Linked DNA regions of Struthio camelus. The protein of the gene in region 1 interacts with the protein of each later gene in a pairwise test. Links are inferred from orthologs where the notes say so. Each region holds a gene or a part of one and is shown on either strand. Other genes may lie near its edges. The genes, in order: HSPD1, TMCC2 and SAMD3.

Region 1 (7,052 bases):
GTTGCATTTTTTGAATGCTGCGAACCCCATGAAAAAATTGCAGTGTTTATCACTGACAGTGCCACCTTTTGGGAACCAGCTTAGTTTCCATTCACAAAGTCAGGAAACCTACCTTATCATCTAGTACAATCTTAGTACCACCGTATTCTGGCAGCAAGACCTTTTCACCAACTTTTACACTTACTGGCTGAATCTCACCATTCTGAAAGAAAAGAAGAAAAACTTTTTTTTTTTAAAAAACAGGTAAACAGGTTGATTTAATGGCAAGAATTCCTTCAAACCATAGTGATCCTCCCCCACATAAAACACTCAAGCAATCACAGTAACTACATTTTAGTTACGCAGTGAAAACTAGAATGCGCAAGTTACCTAGGAATAAAAGCACCCCAGTCAATTCTCAAGCATCAGAACCCTGCAATATTTCAACAGCAGAACTGCAGTGGATTTTCCTGAATGCAAAGTACTTCCGTTAGTTTGAGTGTAAACGCAAACTGAACTCTTCACTTGGCATTTTGAGGATGACTTCGCTTTAAGAAGTCTGAAAAGTTAAGTGACAGACCATGAAATCCCCCTCTAAAGCAATCAGGAAAGTCCATTTCCCTATTCTGTGACCAAGGCTAATTTCTTGAAGTGACAGTTAAGAGCGCCTTCTCATCTTTGTTACTTTGATTAACTTGTCAGTATTGCTGGCAGATCTATTAAACTCTACCACAGATTTCCAAGCATAAGTCTATACTTATGTTTTCGTATTATAAATTATTAGCTAGTTAGTCAATTATTAGCACCATTTCACAATATAAAGCTTTGAGATATCATGCTTTTTGTCTCAGTATCTATGGAAGGACTCAAGGTAAAGAAAGAGTCTGAGTCAACATGCACAAGTTAAATTTTAAACACATTTCGCACTATTACTACTAAATGGATACTTTCTTTGGTGGGGAAAAAAACTTGAAACGTTGAAGCCCACAGGCCGATTAAGACTATGAAACGAAGTCAAGACTGTCACTATCCTTTTTATGATCCTAGACCTGTTTTTTTAACACGTAAAATTCAAGAAAACTGACCTAACAGTTATTTTTGATTCCCAATTTTCTTTTTGTCCAGTAAGCCTAACTGATGCTTACGGGCAACGATATTTTGCACCGCGTTAAGACACAGAATACCACATTCTGGGATTCCACCCTGCTCACAAATTACAGGAATTCAGGCATGCGATCAGCAGCAGTTGAAGAAATAAAGCTGCCAATCCCATACGTTTCACCTGAAAGGTGATCAGACAAGGCATCCCAGAAAATCATAGTTTAAGTATTCAAAACTGAAAAAGCCTCCCACTGTTTAATGCTGCTTGTAAATATCAATAAATAACATTCATTTTTGAAAAGCCATTATTTCCCATTTTAGAAGCAAGAGGAAGGCTGGAATTCAAGGTCAGAGCCAATGAGGAAAGGGTGGACACTTGAGTGAAGTTTGAAGTGCAGACTCAAGAGAGGCGGTAGGAATCTCATCATCCTCATTTGTTGTCATGAAGTGTAACCAAATTTATACAGCAACCGATCCCTTTATGTTAAGCTTCCAGCTACCACCACACCATTACCAACTCTACCCAAAGTTGGATCCATTTACCTTTCCTTTGGCTCCCGATCCAACTGCCACTACTGTTGCTTGTAGCACTTTCCCTTGAGCTTTTTCTGGAATCATGATGCCTCCTTTGGTTACAGTCTCAGCTGCACATCGTTCAACCAGAACACGATCAAAGAGGGGAAGAAATTTCCTAAATGCCTTTCCTGCCTGTGAAAGGAATTGTATATTGTAACAGGAAGATCACTACAAAAAAAAAATGGCAATAAAAAAGTTCAAACCCTCACAGTGGTTTATCTTCCAAGAGAAGTCAAGAATTTAAGAAAGATGCTGGGTAGTTGTTCTTAATAGTGGCAAGTATATGCAACCTTTAATGGCAGCAAAAAAAAAAAAGTTAAAGAAACAAGCAAAGTTGAACCGCAGGTGTTCTGTATCTCAAGCCTAGAAACAATTCTCTCTTGAGCAGAATTAACAGGCACACCCTGGGCAGTCCTAAGATTTCAGCCATACAAAGATGTACTCCAGCTAACATCATAAATCACCACCAGATGGAGCTGCCTTCTCATTTGGCTGGAAAATTCCATCAGCTTTTAAGCTGCTCGATTCTAAACCGTTAGTGCTCCTGTAATTTAGTTAGCATCACTATTGATGAGTATATGAAATGTATTTATTGAGTCACAACCAGATTTAATGAAGGACCTCTCGGGCTAGTTTTCTGGGGGCATTTTTATCGGCTGTACTGGAACGTTTAATAGTAAAAAAGCAAAATCTAGCATGTACTGTGTGTATTTTTCAGGTATTTTCAAAGCTTAGCATTTCATATAACAATTTACAGCTTCTAAAGTTTGAAGTCTGAAGTGAGAGTGTAGTTTTTTTCTACTGAGTTCTACAAATAGACTACAACTTTGCAAAAAAGTGAAGGTTTTTGTAAACCCCCAAGAATAAGCAGCTAGGCACATTTGTGTGTTGGCTGCTTTTCCTTCATGTAGGAAACTAGTCAACAGCTACCTCTGCTTAAGAGTTAACTTTTTTGCTACTACCTACTGCTGCTACTGGCTGCATTTCAGCAACAGTAGCTGCATTCTCACAGACTAAATGCAAGTGCAGAGTCAGGGATAAGGAACATGCTTTGATGAAGAGCAAAGGTCTGGAGACTTGCCAAGTCACGTGGAGATAGCGCTCCACTAGACAGGTATCCAGAGCCCACTCAGAGAAGGTTCTAGCATCCAAGGTCCCTTCCCCGAGACCCATCGTTATACACTCTCATGCTTTAAAAAAAATCAGGAATGCCTCAAAAGTTACAGGCAGGACAAACACAAAGCCCAGTAAACAAAAGATGCTGTCCCCATTTCCCCCCTCCCCCCAAAAAAACTTGCTACTACTACAACGTGGAAGAAAAAAAAACCCGCACAAATGGAAAAGGCTGCCAGTTATGAAAACAACAGCTCTGAGCTTCATTTATTTTTCAAGTGACCTGTGCTTAAGGGAAATAAGCAATTAGACTTATGAACACGGATATTTTACACCGAATTAGAAAATGCGAACACAGGAAAAAAATTCCAGCTCCACGGTAAGGGCGCCCCTGCCCCTGCCCCGCTGCTCTTCGCGGCGAGCTCCACCCGCACAAGCTCGCCAAGCACAGGCGCTGAACCCCCAAGCGCCTTTCTGGCTTCTGTGCCACCAGGCTCGGGGGCCAGGCCGCCGCGCCGCACCCCGCCCGCCCGCCCGCCCGCGGGGCTCCCGAGCGGCCCGTCTCGCCCCAAGGGCGCGCTGCCCTTGCCGCGCTCCCAACGGGCTCCCAAAACGGCCCCGCGCCCGCCGAGCCGAGCCGCCGCGCCGCGCACCCCCCCCGCCGCCGCCGCCGCCGCCGGCCCGGGGAGGCGCCCGCAGCAGTGGCGGGCGCTGCAGGGCCCCCGGGCGGCGCAGAGCCGCGGCCCCCCGCCCGCTGCTAGGCAGCGGCGGCAGCAGCACAGGCCCCTCGCAGCCCCCGCGGCGGGCGGGCGGCCGGGCGGGCACTCACTCACCATGGCGGCCGCCGCGCTCCCCGCCACCGAGTGACCCGGGCCTGCGCCGCGCACACGTGAAAAAGGTCACCACCTGCGCATGCGCGCGGCAACCCTCCCCCCCACCCCGCGCGGCCCGCCCCGAGGCGGAGCCCTTCCGCCCCCCCGAGCCGCGATTCCGCCGTTTATTTTTCCCCGCCGGGCCCGCGGCCCCCGCGCAGGGCGGCCGCCGCTGCAACGGCACCGCGCCCCGCGCCGCACGGGGCCCGCCGGGCCCCGGGGCCCCGCGCCGGCCCGGAAGTGAGGTCACGTCACCTTTGACCCGCGGCGAGCATGAGCGTTCCAGAAGGTTCTGGAACTGGCGGGCCCCGGAACCTGAGTGGCTCATGCCGGGCCGCCAGGGCGCATGCGCGGAGGGCGGGCGGCGCCGCAGCGCTGCGGCCGTGCGCCCGCGCCAGGGGCGGGGCCGCGGCGGCTATGCTGGTTCCCGGGCTGGGCCGCGCGGAGCCCCACATGGGTGGCTGCCTGGCCGGGGGAGGGGCCGAGCTAGTGAGTGCTGAGCGCCTTCCCGGGCTCGCGCGCAGATCTGCCCGCTCCGCTTCGAGTCCGGACGGCGGAGCCGCCTGCCGCTCTCCCCCGCCTTGCACAGAGGTGAGCGTGTGGGGCTGCCCCTGCTCGGGGCCCGGCCGGGCTCGGCCTGGCGCGGAGCGGCCTTGCCCGGGGACGGGGGGGATGCCAGTGGGTCGGGTGCGCAGCCCCCTCGCCCCTTGCCCTCTGCCTTTTGGGCGTTGCGGCGGTTGCGGCCGTTAGGGGCGCGCGCCGCCTGCAACGGCTCTCGCGATTCGAACGCGGGGCGCTGCGGCCGCCTTCAGAGCGGCGCGCGCTGCGGACGGGGGCCGCGCGCCTGCGCCCAGCGCGTGCGCGCGCCCAGCCCGGGGCCCTGCGGCGGCTCGTGCGCTTCCCCCCGCGGCGGCGGGGGGGGGGGGCGGGGGGAGGGGCGCTCCGCGCCCGTGCTCGTGCTCGGCCGGGGGTCGCGGCGGACCAGGCGGCCCCGCGGCGCTGCAGCGCGGCCCGCCCGGCGGCAGGGGGCGAGCGGCTGTTGACCTTGCTGCGCGTGTCCTGATGGAAGGAGACACGTGGCCGGCGGCCCTCTCCTGCCCGCCGCGGCCGCGCCCGGCTGCTTCTCCTCCTCTCGCCCCGGAGCAAGGGCTGCCCGTGGGAGGCAGGGTCGGGCGCTGGGGCCTCGCCGGGCCGCGCCGTCAGGGCGCTACCCTGAAGCGCCCCGCTCGCCCGGGTGCGCGCGGCCGCCCCCGTTTGCCGGTGAAGTGGTGCTGCCTGAGGGGATGGATCCGTCTGGCAAACGGAACGGCTTGTGTGCTACAGCGCCCTGGCCATCTCCCGCCCGACAGCCGGGAGAAGCGAGGCGGGAGGAGCTCAGAGGTGCTGGAGGCTGCTCCATGAGGAGCTGCTGGAGCTGAGGTCTCCTCTTGAGGAGCTGGGCGCCCGAGCTCTCTTACCCTCAGGTAATTGTATGTCTGCGTTCGAAACAATCGGAAAATGAAAGGTCATGGTCACTTGCTTTACTACCTCAATTTTGGGAGGTTTTTTTTTCCCCTTTTTATTCTAAAAGTCGCCGTGCAAAGGACACGGTATTCATATCTTTCTGTGGTGGTGTTTTAATCTTTTAGACATGCTTCGTTTATCTACACTACTCCGTCGGACAAGGCCAGTGTCCAGAGCACTGGCCCCCCATCTAACGCGAGCATATGCAAAAGATGTTAAGTTTGGAGCAGATGCCCGAGCTCTTATGCTTCAAGGAGTAGATCTTCTAGCAGATGCTGTAGCTGTCACCATGGGGCCAAAGGTAATGGAAGGTTTTGCATTTGTACTATGTTAACGCTTTGATGTGGACGAAAATATAACAGTGGAAAACAGTTGTCACTTTTCCTAGATAGAGTTGCATGTTTTCCATCTCCATATCTGCAAGACAAGGATAGGAGAAGGAGTGTGGACAGACCACTGCAAGCAGCCATATTCTCATCTTGTCAGCTGAGCCATGATAATAGTGGACGTGTCCTTCATAGTCGTGAAGGAAAGTACGTTTGACTCCTATGAAAAGTGCAGCATAGTTGCTTAAACAGTATAAAGCAAAACAGAATAAGAGCGCGTGCGCAGTTGATTACTATAGCTGAGTTGGTAGCCTATGACAGTACCCTTGATAATTTGACTGCTTATAATTTTCTTTGCATCCTGAGGTAGTTTAGCTAATATGTGATTTTTTTTTCTTTTGAAAGAAATTATTTTCTGTTATCGTCGCATCGTGTAGTAGTATTAACAAGGTGAGAGAAACATTAAAAGCATAACAGCAAGTTTTTCATTGCAGGTAAATGTTACCAGTTTTTAAAAGGTATTGAAACATCCATGTCAGTGGCATTAATTTGTACCATGTATAGAAAAGATTTGTAGTGTATGATCCCCCTTTCAAGTTCAGGTTTTTGGAAAAGTAGCTGCTGTGTTCTGCATAGTCATACAACATGCCGTAGGTCTTGAAATGAAACTGCTCTGAAAGGAGGAGATGCAGATTTTCTTCAGGCTCTCAGGAATATCTGTTTCAAGTTAGCTCTCAGTAAGGATTTCTTAGGGATTTCTGACTTGTCATGAGGTAGCATTGATCAGGTGTTAGTGGTGTATGTGGAACAATGGTGAAAGTGGTTGCAAACTGCAGTTCTTCAGTTACTTCGCCTTACTGAGTAGCTACAGTGAATTATTTTAGCTCCCTGGTAGGAGTAAATTATATAGTTACAGTTTTGCCTCACTTTTAAAGTGAACACGTTCTGTCATTCACTGCTTGTGAATGTTTTTAATACAGGCAGTTTGCTTGTTTTTTAGTTTTTACTAAAGTTACTTAGTTTTTTTTTTTTTACTTAGTTGTTAAGTACAACTTTCACGTGGAAAGACCTTTTTATTGTTATTATTATACACAGTAGTTAATAAAATCCACGTTCAAAGTAGATAGGTCAAAGCATATCCTAACAGTATATGCATGGTAGTTCTTCTCAAGGCTGCTTGGCCCCTGTGAGATTACTTAACTTTTTACTTACACATTTCTGCACCTTTTTTTAGCTTTATTCAAAGGCAAAAATGCAATGAACTGAGCAGGTGAAGATAAAGGAACAGTGAACTCAGCAAGCTGTGGCTGTTTTCCCTAGGTACAGTTCTCCTAAAAGGAACACGTTTTCAGTGGCTCAGTTGATGAAACTGTTGTTTTGCATCAGCTGACGTTACAACTGTTTAAGGGTGGTTTTAATGCACTGGTTAAAGGACAGTTTCTGATGCAACCTATTGTAACCTTGTGGGTTTTTATATTCCAGTGCTTTCACTTTGATTTATGTGTTATTCTCCATATGTTCATAGAGCAGTTAGGGTTTATACTGTTAATGCCTATTTCAGTTTTCGGCATTTTTAAGAAAT
Region 2 (7,623 bases), on another chromosome or scaffold:
TCTCATTTGTTTTGTTTGAGACCTTTATGTTTACTTTTCACAGTTTATTTTTCCACTTAAGCTGTAAGCAATAAGAGACCTGTCCAATCTACTTCCCAATTCCTATGCGTTTCACAAAACAAGAGTCAGTATTCAAGCCTCACCACACTGCAGAGCAGCACAAGTCTCAAGAACTGCTTAGTCAAAATCCTTCTCACTATAAAACCACTTGCAGGGCAGATTTAAGGAAAAAGTGCTTCTGAAGTCACAGATAACTGTGCTCCTTAAACCTTTTGACACCTTTGAAATAGCCTCCCCACATCAGACCAGAGAAAGTAGCAACTAAATTTCAAACAGTCCTAGAAAACATAACTAAAATTTCATAGAAACAAGAAACTCTGCTCAAAGGTGATTGCAATTAGTCTATCATCAAGATTTATTTAAGAAAACTAGCTACATTCATACTTTATCAACTCCAGTTCTTCTGCTCTTTCCATACTCCCCGTAAGACTGCAACCACTGACTTCTCACTTTCTAGTGTGGAGACTTGTTAGCTTGGTCTGGGTCCCACCCAGACCATGTTGCCACCTCACCAGTTTGAGAACTGCTGACTTATGTTTTATTCTTATCTTAATAACAGCAAGTGTTATAAAGTCTCTCAAGTTTGAAATCCTGAAGCAAGAGCCTACATTGTATTTATTGTTTGCATGAACAAGCTCTAAACCAGATAGTCTTTCTTTCAAGCCCTGGATACTTAAAGGCCAACTGGTGACAGTCAGCAGTAAAGCCAAGCCAGCACAATTTAGACATTTGAAAACTAGTAGGAATGAACTGCACCATATCAGAAACAACAGGCAGAATATCTGGTGCAATCTTTACCCTAGGTCAGAAACATTTAATTAATGATGCATCCACAGCCTACAGAGCCCTGCAAGTAGACTTTCAAGGATGCAACTGAGAGTCGACTAGAAACATTTTCTTCCATTTAGGTTCTTCTTATAGCAGTGATTCCAGTGGAGCACTGCCACTCAATCAGCAGGGCAACTGACAGAAAAAGAGCAAAATCAACTAGTTCCTACTTCCTGGAAATCGCAGATAGACGTAAACAAGCAGACTCAGAGACGAGATTTCTACAAAGCTTTCCACTTCTATTCTGAAAGTTTACATGGAACACTTCTTGTCAAAAAGAAAGCTCAACAACACTTTAATTTTCAAGTCATAATTGTGAGCATAAGACAAGCATGGACAAGTATCCTGGACAAGTAGCCAATAGAGATGACTCACGAGCCATTTGAAAATGAATAAAGACCTTTATATATATAACGTCACACTAAACTCTTCTCACAAGACAGTCTTATGGAAGATGAAGTTTTGCACGTGGCAGGAAGGCTCCTAGCAGGAGCAATGTTTGTCAACTGTGACAGATGAAGATAAAGCAGAAGAACGAAGCAAAATACTACTTCCACAAAGCTTCACAACAGACACGCTGCGCGGCACACCACACGCCGCCCAGCGAGCCACCCACCTCCCCGCAGTTCCTAGCCCCCCCACCAGCTGCTCTGCCCCTCTCCCAGACACCCCCACCCCAGCACCCTCACCCACACCCTGACCTGCTCACTTCACCCCACAACCCCTCTCGGGCCTCCCAAGCCTCCCCAGGCGCCCCCACCCCCAGTCCTTCCCAGCCTGCCTCACTGGGACCCCTTGCCCCCGCAGCACACCCCACACCCCTCAGCTGTGCTCTCCCCCCTCCCCATCACCAGCTACACCCTGTGCCACCCATAACTCACCCCACAGCCCACCTGCGCACCCTCACCCCCACATATCACAACCTATAGGTCCCCATATATCTGTAACCCCCCCAACCACAACCCTCACTCCCCACAGTCTGCACCCCATAGCCCTCTCCCCTGCACTGCTCGCCCCCCCAGCCCTCACGCCAAACAACCCTGCCTGCACCCCATTACCCACCCTTACAGCCCCCCAACTTGCACCCCTCACCCCTCCAGTCCAGCCCACCCCCCCAATCCCCGTACCCCTCTTGCCTCTCTAAACGCCCCCCCACAGCCCAGCCCACCTCGCCTACACCCCTTTCGCCACAGAGCCCACCCCACCTGCCCCGCACAGCCCCTCCGGAGCCCACCTGCACCCCTTATCCCTCCGTCCCCCCAGCCCCCCCCCCAAACGGGCATGCCCCCCTGCGGCCCCCCCGGCCCTCTCTCACCGCTCGGCGCGGGGCCGTCGCGGGGGGCCCCGTCCCCAGCCGCGGCGGGGGGGCCCTCGCCGGCCGCGGCCAAGGGGTGGCCCTGGGAGTACTTGACGTCGCGGAAGAACTTCTTGGTCTCGCGCAGGTTGTGCTGCAGCCGCGCCAGGTGCCGGTTGTAATGGCCGAAGGAGCGGCAGAGCTCGCGGACCAGGCCGCCGCCGGGACCCCGCCACGAAGGGGCTCCGTCGCCCTCCATGTCCTCCGGGTCCGTTCCGCTATCCCCTCCCCAGCCCGGGGGACGCTCGGCCCCTGCCAGGCTGCCGTCTCCGGCCTCTCCGCCTTCCCGGAGGGAGCGGCGCGCCCCCAGCGGCCGGGCCTTTCCTCGTTTTCCTCCCCCCCCCACCCCTCCCGCCTCCCCTACCCCCGCCGCCGCCGCCGCCGCCTTCCTCCTCACGGACGGCGCCGCAGCAAGCCACGCTGCGTGCGGAGCGGAACCTTTATCCGGGCGCCGCGGGGCAAAGGGGGAGGAGACCGGGGCGGACCCCGCGGGCGCCGCATCCCGGGAGGTGTAGTTCCGCCGCGCGGGGGCCGCTGGGAGTTGTAGTCCGGTGGGCGCCGCGGGGGCCGCTGGGAGTTGTAGTCCGATGGGGGGGGGTACGGGGGGGGGTGGCGAACCCCTGCAGCCGGCCAAGGCCTGCCTCACCCCGCCGCATCCTGCTCCTCCTCCTCCTCCTCCTCCTCCTCCTCCCCGCCGCCGGCGCCCCGCGAGCAGGCAGCGCTGCCCCGTCCCTCCGAGCCGCCTGGCGCAGTCCCCAAGCATCCCCTTTTCCAGCAGATGGAAAATATCCCCGATAAACACTTTTTTGTTGTTGTCCTTCAAGCAAACACTTTCCCAGGCATTTATTTTTAAAATATATTCCCAGTTGCTAGGATTTCTTATGAAAACAAAGCGCTATTTTTTCCAAGACATAAATCGTACCTCTAGACGAGAATTCCTAGGGGCTGAAATTCGCCTTTGCCCTTTGCTCAGGGTTGGCATGGGACTGAGGTACCATTTAAGGTCACTTGCGCTGCCTTGGAAGGCTTGGGTGGCGCTTTGTGCCATGCTAAGTGCTTTATTGTTACGATTCAGTCCAGAAGCAGCAGGCCCAGACCTTAATCCTGGCAGATCCTAAGCAGAGGCAACATGAGCTGCCGGTTCACGGACCGAGAGTCCAGCTCAGTGTAAAATGAAATGATGCTGGGAGGTTTCGGGAACTAGGGTGAGACCTGCAGAAAAAAATTGCACTGGGCTGTCATTTACCCACCCGTGAAGCAATTATAAGCATTATCTCATTGGAGCAGCTGGGAAAGGCCGGTTAGTTCATGCTCTTTAGATAACGCTAGCAGGGTTCTGGGAGGGTGGCTCTGGGAAGGCAAAATATTAGAGTTTAAGTCTCTCTTTGTCCCCAAACTTTTTTTTTTTTTTTTTTTTTTTGCTTACGTGAGAGGCCAATTTAGTGATGCAGATTTAGCGCCGTGGGAGCACAGCCCAGGGAGCAGCGTCGTCGCCGGCCACCGAAGCCCGGCCATCGCGCCAAGCCAGCCGCGCCCTGGCGCGCAGCAACCGGCTGCAGGCGGGCTGGGGGCTCGGGATGAGCCCCGGTGCCCCCAGCGAAGGCCGCCGCCACCCGCTCCGGCTGCTGTCGGAAACAGGACAACGCGGCGCGTTAAGCCCTCGCCCCTCATGCGGAGCAGCTGAGAGCTACGGCAGGGCGGACCGCGGCGGGCGGCCGCCGACCGGCAGAGCAGTGGGGAGGACGGGGAAGAATTAAAAAATTAAATTAAAAAATGGAAAAATAAAAATGTATGGTTTATATTCGGTAAAGATGTGTATTTTTAAAAGGAAAAAAAGAGAGAGCGCGCTGCCTCCGCCCCGGGCAGCCTGGCGCAGCGGCGCGGCTCGCCGGAGCGGCGGGAGCGGCCGGAGCGGCGGGAGCGGCAGCGGCGGCGGCGGCGGCGGCGGCGGCGGGAGGGGGGACGGCGCGGCAGCACCGCGCGCCGCGACAGCTCCTCGCCGCCGCGGCCAATGGGCGCCGCCGGCCCCGCCCACCGCCCGCCGCCATTGGGCAGCGCGGCCGCCGCTCAAGCCGCGGCGGCGGCGGCGGCGGCGATGCCGATGCCGATGCCGGCGGGCGCGGAGCCGGCGCGGCGCGGAGCCGCCGCCCGCCCCGGGCGCGGCGGGGCAGGCGCGGGCAGGGCGGCGGCGGCGGCGGCGGCACGCAGCCCGCGGCCCCCGCACCGGCCGCCCCGGCGCCGCCCGCCGCCGCCCTAACGGCCGCCGCCGCCGCCTGCCCGGGGGAGCCACGGCGCACCGGCATGAAGCGGTGCCGCTCGGACGAGCTGCAGCAGCCCGACGAGGACCCCGGCGCGGCGGCGGCCGCGGAGTCGGAGGCGCCCGGCCCCGCCGCCATGGAGGCCAAGCCCGGCGAGGCGGCGGCGCCGCCGGAGGCGGGGGCCGGCCCGCCGCCGCGCACCAAGCCCCCCGACCTCAAGGTGAGCCCCGGCGGCCGCCACGGCGTACCGGGGGGAACCGCGGGGGGGGGGGCAAGCGCCCCGTGGGGGCACTGCTGTGCCCGCACCCTGGTGCCTGCTCTGCTACAGGTGTGACCTTGGGGGATGGGGGATGCTCCCGCGATGGGGATGCTCCCGGGATGGGGATGCTCCCGCGATGGGGATGCTCCTGGGATAGGGATGCTCCCAGGATGGGGATGCTCCCGGGATAGGGATGCTCCTGGGAATGCAATGGTCCTACGATGCAGGTGTTCCTGGGAACGAATGCCATGGTCCCTGGATGGGGATGCTGCTGGCATGGGATGCTCCTGCAAATGCAATGGTCCTGGGAGGAGGATGCTGCCAAAAATGCAGTGGTCCTGGGGATGAGGATGCTCCTGGGAATGCAATGGTCCCAGGATGGGGATGCTTGGGGATGCTCCCAAGAATGTGATGCTTCCAGGACGGGGATGCTTCCAGGATGCGGATGCTCTCAAGGCAGGTTTGCACCAGTGTGCTCGAGCCTGAGCATCACTGAGGCTGCAGGCCCCCAAGAGCAGCAATAATAAAGGGGGGGGGGGGAGAGGCAGGGGGACCCTGACGACACCGGCGGCCCTCAGCAGGGAGCTGCAGGAAAGGTGACTGCATCCCATGGCAGTCCAGGAGGGGTCTCGTGGCCTTTTTAGGGGCAGAGGGGGCTAACAGAGCTGCTGCTCTGCAGAGGAGCTGAGCGGATCCTACTAAATATCCATCGGAGTCGCCCCCAGCACTGCGCGTGTGGGCGCTGCTCTGGGAAACACGAGTCAGTCTGGCAGGATTCGTGCTGCTGCTGCAGCTGAAAGTGGCAGCGTAGAAATGGCCCCAAGCCTGCTCCTTCTGTGTCTTTGGGCTGTGTCCGGTTAACGAGGAAAACGAGTTTCACTGCACTGCAGAGCTATGGGAAGGGAGCCGGTCCTCAGTGGGCTGGAGGCACTGGCAGGGGTACGAACAGCCAGAACGGGGTGGTCCCAGGTGAAGTTTGGGCAGGAATTTCCTGTTGGTTTGAATACAGAGCAGCTCAGATCCTCAGATATTCAACAGGGGCCGGCCGGCGTGGGACGCAGCGGGGCTTTTGTGCAGGGATGAATTTCCTGCTTGTAACTTCGATGTTTCCGGGCGCTGCAGCACATTGCTGCTGTGGTCAGAGTGTGCTCTTGGTAGCGCTTTCAAAGGCAACGGAAGTGTTGCTTCCACTCTTTGATTTCAAAAAGGGCTGGACAAAAGTAGAAAACGTCCCTAGTCACCCACATGCAACCAGGCATCCAGCATGGTAAATGCTCATTGTGAAGCTTTCCAGCAGAGCCCCTCAGCCTGTCTTCTAGCCTAGAAAGTCTTACTGGTGTGGTCAAGGTCATGCAGGGAGCTGGCATCATCCCACCCACTCCATCCCAAGTCCTTTTTCACCTGCAGTGAGTCAAAAAAGGGATGGAAAATGGAGCTCCAGGATGCACAGTGTGGCCTATGCTTTGAAGAACATATCATCGTGGTGATGACCAGGAAGCCCTAAGGGTTCTTTAGGTGGCACGTCCAGCTCTGAGCTGGAGCCCAGCCTTGTCTGTAACCTGGTCAAGCTCACAGCGCCATCCGTGGCCAAATTCCCATTGATTTTATCGATGCAAGTAGGATACCCTAATGCAGAATTGCTTCTCAAAGCATGTCTTTAAGCACATTTGTAGCTCAGCAATTAATTGCCTGCATGAAGTGACTCCTCCAACTTGCTGTGCAGGACAGGCTGCACAAAAACCAATCTCAGTGCTGCCCACAGCTCTGGTGAGCGCTGGGCCCTGATTCCTGGCCCTGCCACTGACCGACTGCACCAATTCAGTCACTTCACCTGCTGGTGCCACTTTTAGTGGCGTCTTTAGAAAGCGGACAGTAATCTTAAACGTTTTCCTGCCCAAAACTCCTCCTTTTCCTGGACTGCCTTCACTACGGTGAGGTCTGTTCACTGCTAGCAAATGAGCTGGTCCCTTGCCCCTGTGCACACTCTGCTGTCCACAGCTCCAGTCGGATTGGCTTGGAGCCACTGACCAAGGCCCACCAGTTCACCTCCCAGTGGATATCAAACAAGCATCGGATGTAAACTTTTGTTTGCTGCCAGCCTGAGACAGATTTGAGCTGGCAACCTGGAAACAGAAGGCTGCATTGTGTCGTCTCCAAACCCCTCACCCGGGCAGGTCCTCCCTGGCAAGTACATGGCAGCTTTCCTTTCGCCAGCCCCAATTTCAGCTCTTTTTTTCTATGAGCAACTGCTCCATTAGGAAAAAAAAAAAAAGAAAAAAAAAGTTCTGGCAAGGAGTAAAGCAGATGCATGACACACAATTCTGCTTAAAAATATGTTGGGTGGCAGAGATTTCCTGCGCTCTGCAGCAGAGTGGCTGGATCCATACAAAACACTGCAGAAGGAAACATCCAGGCCTTTTACTTCTGGAGACTGCCCGGCTGTCCCGTGGTGTTGCACCAGAAAGGCATTTATCACTTAGATCATCATTCCCCACGCATCTCTGATCTGACTGTTTTCCCTCGGTCTCTCTTTTCTCCCAAGTGGGCTGATCTGACAAGGGTGGCAAGCTGAAGCCTGACATAATGTCCATCTCTGGTGTCATGATCTCAGTCTTTGCGGCTCCTGCCTTTCCCTCCTTTTGAACCTGAAAGCCAAGACCAGCAATGAGTATGGAGGCACTATCCAGAGCCCTTCTTTTTTCCTGGGACCAGAGGAGGCACTCAGGGAAGCCCCGCAGGACGCGCAGCCCCAGAGCCGGTGCAGCCTGGCCCTGTCCAGAGCAGTGGGGCTGGGACAGCGTGTCCGGAGGGCTGCAGTGATCTCACAGCAGCATTTACCTGTAGCGGGTCAAGCCCGCAGTCCT
Region 3 (6,956 bases), on another chromosome or scaffold:
AATACTGTCTTTACAGTGGGAGCTTTACCTCATTCTATGCAGAAACCAGCTATTCAATACCTTGATCTTAAAGTATATGATCATATGGATTTCTTAAACATGCTTAACAGTTTTATTATGTGGTTCTTGACTCTGCCACAGAAAATGCTTCACAAACAACAGCTTATTTACCTAAATTCCCTCTAAATAGAGGAATATTAGTACCTACTTTTTAGGCAGGAAGAGTAGCCAAGGAAAGATTTTAAGGTAAATGGTATTTATTAATATTTGAGATTTCCGGCATTTGATTTTTTTCTGGAATTTGCAGAAAAGCCGTGACCTGAACGCACAACTGCAACTGAGTGCTTTTTATGAGACAATAAGGCCTGCGTTGTAAGACATGAGGAGGGCATGGGGAGCAATCGTATCTGAGAAGCAGTCTAGCCAGACATCCCTGAAAAAGTCAAGGATGGAATCCAAACATTCAAAACAGCATTCAAACTGCCTTAACTATAAGAACATATCTGTTTGTTGGAAATCCCCTGCTGCAACCACTATGCACCTGCTGTGCTTCGAATGAAGTAGTGGGCTTACAAACAGTACTCTTCTTCACAGCAGATTTTCGCTCTGCCTTCAAAGAACAAGCTTCCTGTAAATCAAGTGAGGCAGGACCTCTATGCAAAGAACCAAGACTGCTTGTGATTGATTGCATAATTAAAGTCTGTGATAAAACATATATTCAGTGACATCCTCTTCTTCCTGGCCTCTCCTTCCCTCCAGCAGTGCAGGATCATTTTCTGAGCGGCTTTCACAAACATTTCTGAGACTCAAGGATGACAGAATGCGTCTATATAGGTATTTTAGTCCTTCTTATTACTGTGCTTTGGAAGGGAATAACCCAGCCACCACCATTTACCATCCTTTGGCTTGCGCTGTGGAGTTATTTCAGAGCACACACATTGGATTCCTTTTGGATGAAAGTAAATGCTATAGTAAATGCTCTACAGATCTACTTCTATTGGACTATTACTGCACACAGTTAATGTTATAGTCCTTTCCTTCAAAACTGGGAGGGGAATGTGCCTTCATATAAAAATGGCATTTTGCACCCATTGCAGGCTATTTCTAGCTTTCTTGGGCCTAGAAGAGAACGTACGGAGAGCCCAGGACCTCTGTTCTCACCCAAGATTTCCAAAACAAAATCTAGCCTGGCTTATAATAGATCAGAATGAGAAAAGTAAGAAAAAAACCCTGCTCACCAAGAGCTGGAGCCTGCTCAATGAGGACAGTCTCTGTGGAATTTGTTTTCTAAAATCTAATCTAGTCTATCGTTGAAAGCTCACGCTGTGATTATTAAATGCTTACATCTTGATCAAATTCAGAAGGTTTCCTTTGGGAGATTAAACACATTGGTGCCACAAACACCATCTCTAGCTAAATCACATGATTTTACTCGAAGGTTTCTGATGTTACAGCATTTAAAAGTAAATGCCTCAAAACCTTAATACAGCAAACGCAGAACATTTCAGCTGCAGTGATGAAAAGTTTGATGATGCTTCATGCAAATTAGAACTAGGTCCTAGAACTGGAAGTGAAGGGCAGTTTAAATTATTGGTACTGTCCAGGAATGTTGATGGTATGTTCAAAAAACACAAAGTTAGAACCATATTTAACATGATGTCAGAGATCATTCAAAGTGTAAAAACAGTTGCAACCTACAGCAGTAGAGCTAGTAAACATCAATTTTAAAATGCTAAGAAAAGAATATGGATGTACTCAGACTGATATTTTCTCTACCATATACAGACTCACCCACTGATTGCTTCTGGGAATTTTGGAGAAGCTGTTTCACAATAGCAGGTAAGGGATTCTAGCCCATTTTTTTGTTGTTGGTATTTATTAATCAGGTCCATTAGCACTGCCTGGTGCCCAATCTTCTTTACCAGCTGCTGCACCATACGATCATTAAGAGCCAAAAGAGCTGCTCCACTTACTTCTTCTTCTGAAGATGGAAAGGGATAAGATTATAATTACAGTAAGATACTTTACAGTTATAATAAGATTCTAAAACATGACAATGGAGGGCAGGTCCAAGGTAAAAAGATGCCTTCTACTGCTGATGTTCTTCTTCAACTATTAAAAAAGATAATTTGTTTTAGCTACTGTCCCTTCCAAGCCAGCGCCCGAAGTTTTAGTCACTGGCCAGATACCTTCCAGTAACAAAATGACAGGTCTGAAATAAACAACAGTGAGTGACAATTTTAACGCTTTAAATCAGACTTTGCTTAGACCACAGCATATTGCTGTTTTGTTAATGAAGGAAAGTCAGCTTTTTAAGAGAATGCATAGCATACCATGTTCACATAATAATTTCTTATGCACTATTTTGCAGAGTGTTTATATACGCAGGCAGAAAACATTTACATACTACAGTTGAATTATTTCAAAAGATGTATACAGTATAAAATAGGCCCAGTCACAGCCTGTTAAACTGCCAGTTCTGTTTCTAGAAGGCGTGCCTATTTACATGTAGGCTTAATCTTCCCCTCAGCATTTCTCACAGACTTGATAATATATCTACACACTTACTTCGATTTACCAGGTCTGTCAGCAATGTCCCTAATAAATTTCTATATAAGCCTTAAGTTGGCCTAGATATACATACCCCAAAACAAGTAATGCCAATTAAAAGCATAGAAAGAAATATGTTCTAAAAAACACACATAAACAAAACGCTTACCACGAAACTTAGGAACTAATTCTCCTAAATTTCTCCGTCTCAACCAGTTGCAGACTTGATCAACCGACCAACTTTCCATCTTCAGGCGTTGCAAAGATAAATTTCACTGTGAAATGAAGACAGAGGATTATTTTTATGCTGAGCTCTAAACTGAACTTGAACATCTTGTAGAAAAAATGCTCCTGCAAACAGTATTATACTTACATGGTCTGAATAAAATTAATGGGAAATGATCAAACTAATGCCTTTTGCAAGTAGCAGTTTTCTTAGACCCCTCTTTCTTCACCGCCTCTCCTTTTCCTGCTTTCCCTCTGTTCTAAGAGACAGCCTCATTCCTTTTAAAACACGACCTGCTCCGGTACCTTTAACACCCAGGTTTCCACACAGAGAGGAAAAAGGTGTGAAATTCACCACCACCACTCATCAGGAAATGGTTGACATTTTACAGAAAGAAAAAAAAACAGATCTGATAAGAGTCTGTCACATACAGGTTTATAGTAAACCAAGCACATATTAACCCTCTCTGTACCACCAAGCAGCTAGTCAAGCAAATGCTTAAGCCTCAGTTACAATTAGGGGCAATAAAAGCTTCTGGAAAAGGGAGGGGACATGCCAGACACCATGGAAGGATATGAGTGAACGGAGATGGCCCCCACTGAGCGCCTCACCTCTAGGTGCTGGTGCTGAAGGAACTCAGTGCCTCATGGGATGCAGCTCAGAGAGAGGCTCCCGGTCAATCTGCCAAATCCCTTCCGCTCCAGGTATCACAGACTCCTTCCTGAAGGACTTAATTGAACTGTGAGGAGAGTAAATCACATACCACTGAATGTCCGCTTAAATCCAGTTCACCATATTCAGCCCCTCCCCACCTCATGCTGCTTGAAATTTGGTAGACACTGCAGGCAATACAGAAAGCAGGGCATTTTGCTTCACTGTAGGCCCTAAATAGCTACAAGTTTGATACTGAAATAAAAATTCACCCTTACCGTTAACAGAATCCTAAACTTTTTTCAGGTTGAGAAGTAACCAAAATATCCCAACAAGCAAAATCAGTAACAACTTCATAAAGAGAGGATTACTTGTAAAGAGAAAGGTCTTCCTAGTCTACAAGCTCCTTTGTAGCAGAAAACTCTTCCCATAAGTGATTTTCATAGTAATGTGATTCAGCTCTATTACGTAAATGAGCTAAAGGATCATCAAGTACTCCTATACTCCTATACTCCATCCTTGAAAATGATTCAAGGAAGTTTTTCAGATGAGAGCACGACTGTCTGGCGTTGTTGGCCAAGCATTTCCTTGTTCAAGATACATCCACGTACATACCCCGAGGCGGCAGTGAACTCCAAGTGAGCATGAGAATTCACCTACATAAAGCTCATCAGGAGCTGATCCACTACAATACAATACAAAAAAAAAGTGCACTATCTGCATACAAAACCATTTCTGCTTTTCACCCTTCAATAACACAGACCAGCAAAATAGATGCACTTCAGATTGTGCTCTTGTGCCAATACACTTCAGCAACATAACGGGTTAAAGGAAGAGGCATGTCTTTCTGAATTACATGAGTGGATTTAATTTGATATGACAACAGTAGCCATACAACTCCTTCCCCAGGCTAAGCAGCAATAACAGGGTGTGAAAAATCATTATTTGCTGAGAACTCTGGTGTAAATTAAAAATCACACCTTCTCGTCACACTTCTTACTTCCTTGCAAAGAGTGGGACAAAGAGATGCTCAAAAAACTCGAAAGATAAAACAGAATGCAAAGCAGAAAGATACTTGCCTTATCAACCAAGTAGTGTAAAAGTAATGAGAGATACATTAAGATGGCAGAAAGGTCACTGCTTCATCCTGCAAGAAGACTTGCAACCTAGACTAGGTCATGCTATAGCAGACGAGTAGATATCAACTTTTCAAATACTGTCAAGCAAACTATAGTCACACAAAACAATATGCATATACATTTCATCAGTGTGTCGCTAACTCTGCAGCAAAATGTCCATTTGCACATGGAAATGCAGGCTGTGCACTTCAGGGGGAGGGAAGTGATGGCAGTTTGGAGGCTGCTGCAGAAAACCAGATGATATATAATAAGGTCACTACACACAAATACTTCAAAACACTTCTCAAAAGTGATTTCACTTACATGCAAATACTCTGAGTAAAGGAGCTGGGGAAAGAGCCCACCAGTCTTGTACTAGCACTCCTGAGACAACTAGAAAGACTGAGAATGAATACTGATGTTGGTCTTTATTATTAATCCTATTTATTACAGTAGTATCAAAAGACTACCCAGGGTGGTCACTGTGCTTGGCACGGTGCAAGCACAAGAATATTTATATTCTTCATTCTTCAATCAACTCTTAAAAGGCAGAACAACAACAAAAAACGTAAAGGCAACCTTTTAAAAACAGACAATATTTTAGCCATTTACAGCATGATTTCAAGTCAAATTCAGAATAGTTCTAAGTGTGAGCAATCCCTGCCTGCTAATAAAAACAACAAAGCACTGGGACCCATTTCTTCAGACACCTATTATTAGGACTAATATTAGGAGTTTACCAATATTTCATCGGTGTGCCTAGGAGGAGTCAGGACAACCCTTGCTTTTAGTGCAAAATCCTTCAAGGCTGAAGGATTAAAAGCTTGGTTTTTTAATCAGATCAAGCTAAAGACCCATCTACACTACAGATTTCTGCTGATGCAGTTGGCTAAACAGTATACAGAGATGAGATTCCCAGCCAGCATAGTTCCGTCATGTGGGTGCACTAATTTCCCATACAGCTTGTTTTAGTAGAAGATATAATGAGCTGTCATCAATATGAAATGACACTTCTTCTAAATGAAGGAAGCTATATGTCCAAACACTTTATACAAGGAAAGCGAGTTATTATATTTACTTCACACACTCACTCATGAGAAAAAGCCTATGGCATCACAGCATACAGATACATTAACCTCTGTGCTGATGTCACTGAGGTTAGAATTAAGGTTTAGTGTGGTCCAGTACCAAGGTGAGGAATGTGATGTGTGCACATCCATATGCCACAGCTACGTGGCCAGGTCTCAAAGCGCAAGGGTGATAAGCAGGAATTAGGGCATAACAAAGACATAACTAAAGTATCCTCTGTGTATGCTTTTAATGCTATTATAATTTCTTTTTAATCTTTGTAGGCATTACAGGGACTTCAGTATTTTCTTTCCGCTTGCTACCTATTTTTTAAGTAATTAAAAAATATACTCAAGCTACTTTACAGAAGGTAGAACTGGGTCACTCTGAATATAGCGCTGAGTTACCATGAAAAGGACATCAGCTATCCAGCAACCTTTTCAATAATGCATAGGGAAATACTCAGAAGAGAAATCCTCTCCCCCCTTCCCCCAGAAAAGAAAACACCGACTCTGATTGCTGATGTTTATCAGGCACAGGCTAGCACAAAGCATTCCCCTGAATGCTCACAGATACTGCCAAATGAAGCAACATGAGGGAAGGGAAAGAAAATTCCAATATCAATGCAGGAGTAAGTCTCAAAGTGCATGTTTCAGTTCTCATTTCCATGCTACTGTAGCGTAAGACCAAGGCAGCTGCATACCTATAATCACACAAAGCAACAGTAAGGCTACATAGGAAGATCAAAGAAGAAAACATGCACTCACAATAGTCAGAAATAAATAAAGGGGAACAAGTCCCACATTAAAAGAAGTTGTTTCAAGAAGGACAAACCAGACTGCCCTTTCTAAATCTTGATCAAAGTTCAGGGGAATATCAACACTCCTCAATGTATCAGTCTGCTGAGCTTATCAAGCAGACAAATTCCATTGCTGCAGGATTAACTCTGAAGATTACTATACCTAAATCTACTCTTTCCCTAAAACATTTGCTTCTGATTACATATGGAGTTTCTATTATCCATGTTTTTACCCTGCAAGCTTCTTTAAAAACATTTTCATCTGTAAAATTTAAAGCGCTACTGGAAAGAAAGCTGTCACAAAGAAAGCTGAGACAAGCTTCCACCCGAATACCAAGTTCTGTTACAACTGTACAGACTATTTGGTAATTTGAAAGCAAGAAAAGAAACTTAATTTGACTGTATTTTAAGGCAACGTAATATTCATGCAGACCAGACTCTGTCCTTGCTATCACTGATAACAGTACACAAACCATGCAATAATGCAATAATACTAATAACTGTTAGTTACAAGAGAAAATTATCTTATTTTCTAAGAATACAA

What was found.
Region 2: the proteins of HSPD1 (region 1) and TMCC2 interact in a two-hybrid assay, tested with the Homo sapiens proteins (2 studies listed by BioGRID). The two-hybrid records come from large-scale screens. The link is inferred for Struthio camelus from reciprocal best matches to the Homo sapiens genes HSPD1 and TMCC2.
Region 3: the proteins of HSPD1 (region 1) and SAMD3 interact in binary tests that used the Homo sapiens proteins (3 or more experiments, as listed by UniProt). The two-hybrid records come from large-scale screens. The link is inferred for Struthio camelus from reciprocal best matches to the Homo sapiens genes HSPD1 and SAMD3.

What each region holds. Positions count from the first base shown.
Region 1 is NC_090947.1:11,797,155-11,804,206, forward strand, and holds the start of HSPD1 (60 kDa heat shock protein, mitochondrial), read left to right. Parts: upstream 1-4,001; 5' UTR 4,002-4,232; intron 4,233-5,269; 5' UTR 5,270-5,271; coding exon 5,272-5,445; intron 5,446-7,052. Other genes in the region: HSPE1 (10 kDa heat shock protein, mitochondrial), read right to left, coding at 113-202, 1,624-1,788, 3,603-3,605. UniProt on the Homo sapiens protein: Chaperonin implicated in mitochondrial protein import and macromolecular assembly. Together with Hsp10, facilitates the correct folding of imported proteins.
Region 2 is NC_090965.1:7,178,829-7,186,451, forward strand, and holds the start of TMCC2 (transmembrane and coiled-coil domains protein 2), read left to right. Parts: upstream 1-4,528; 5' UTR 4,529-4,543; coding exon 4,544-4,720; intron 4,721-7,623. Other genes in the region: DSTYK (dual serine/threonine and tyrosine protein kinase), read right to left, coding at 2,204-2,441.
Region 3 is NC_090944.1:70,804,047-70,811,002, forward strand, and holds the start of SAMD3 (sterile alpha motif domain-containing protein 3), read right to left. Parts: upstream 3,060-6,956; 5' UTR 2,924-3,059; intron 2,826-2,923; 5' UTR 2,799-2,825; coding exon 2,720-2,798; intron 1,982-2,719; coding exon 1,792-1,981; intron 1-1,791.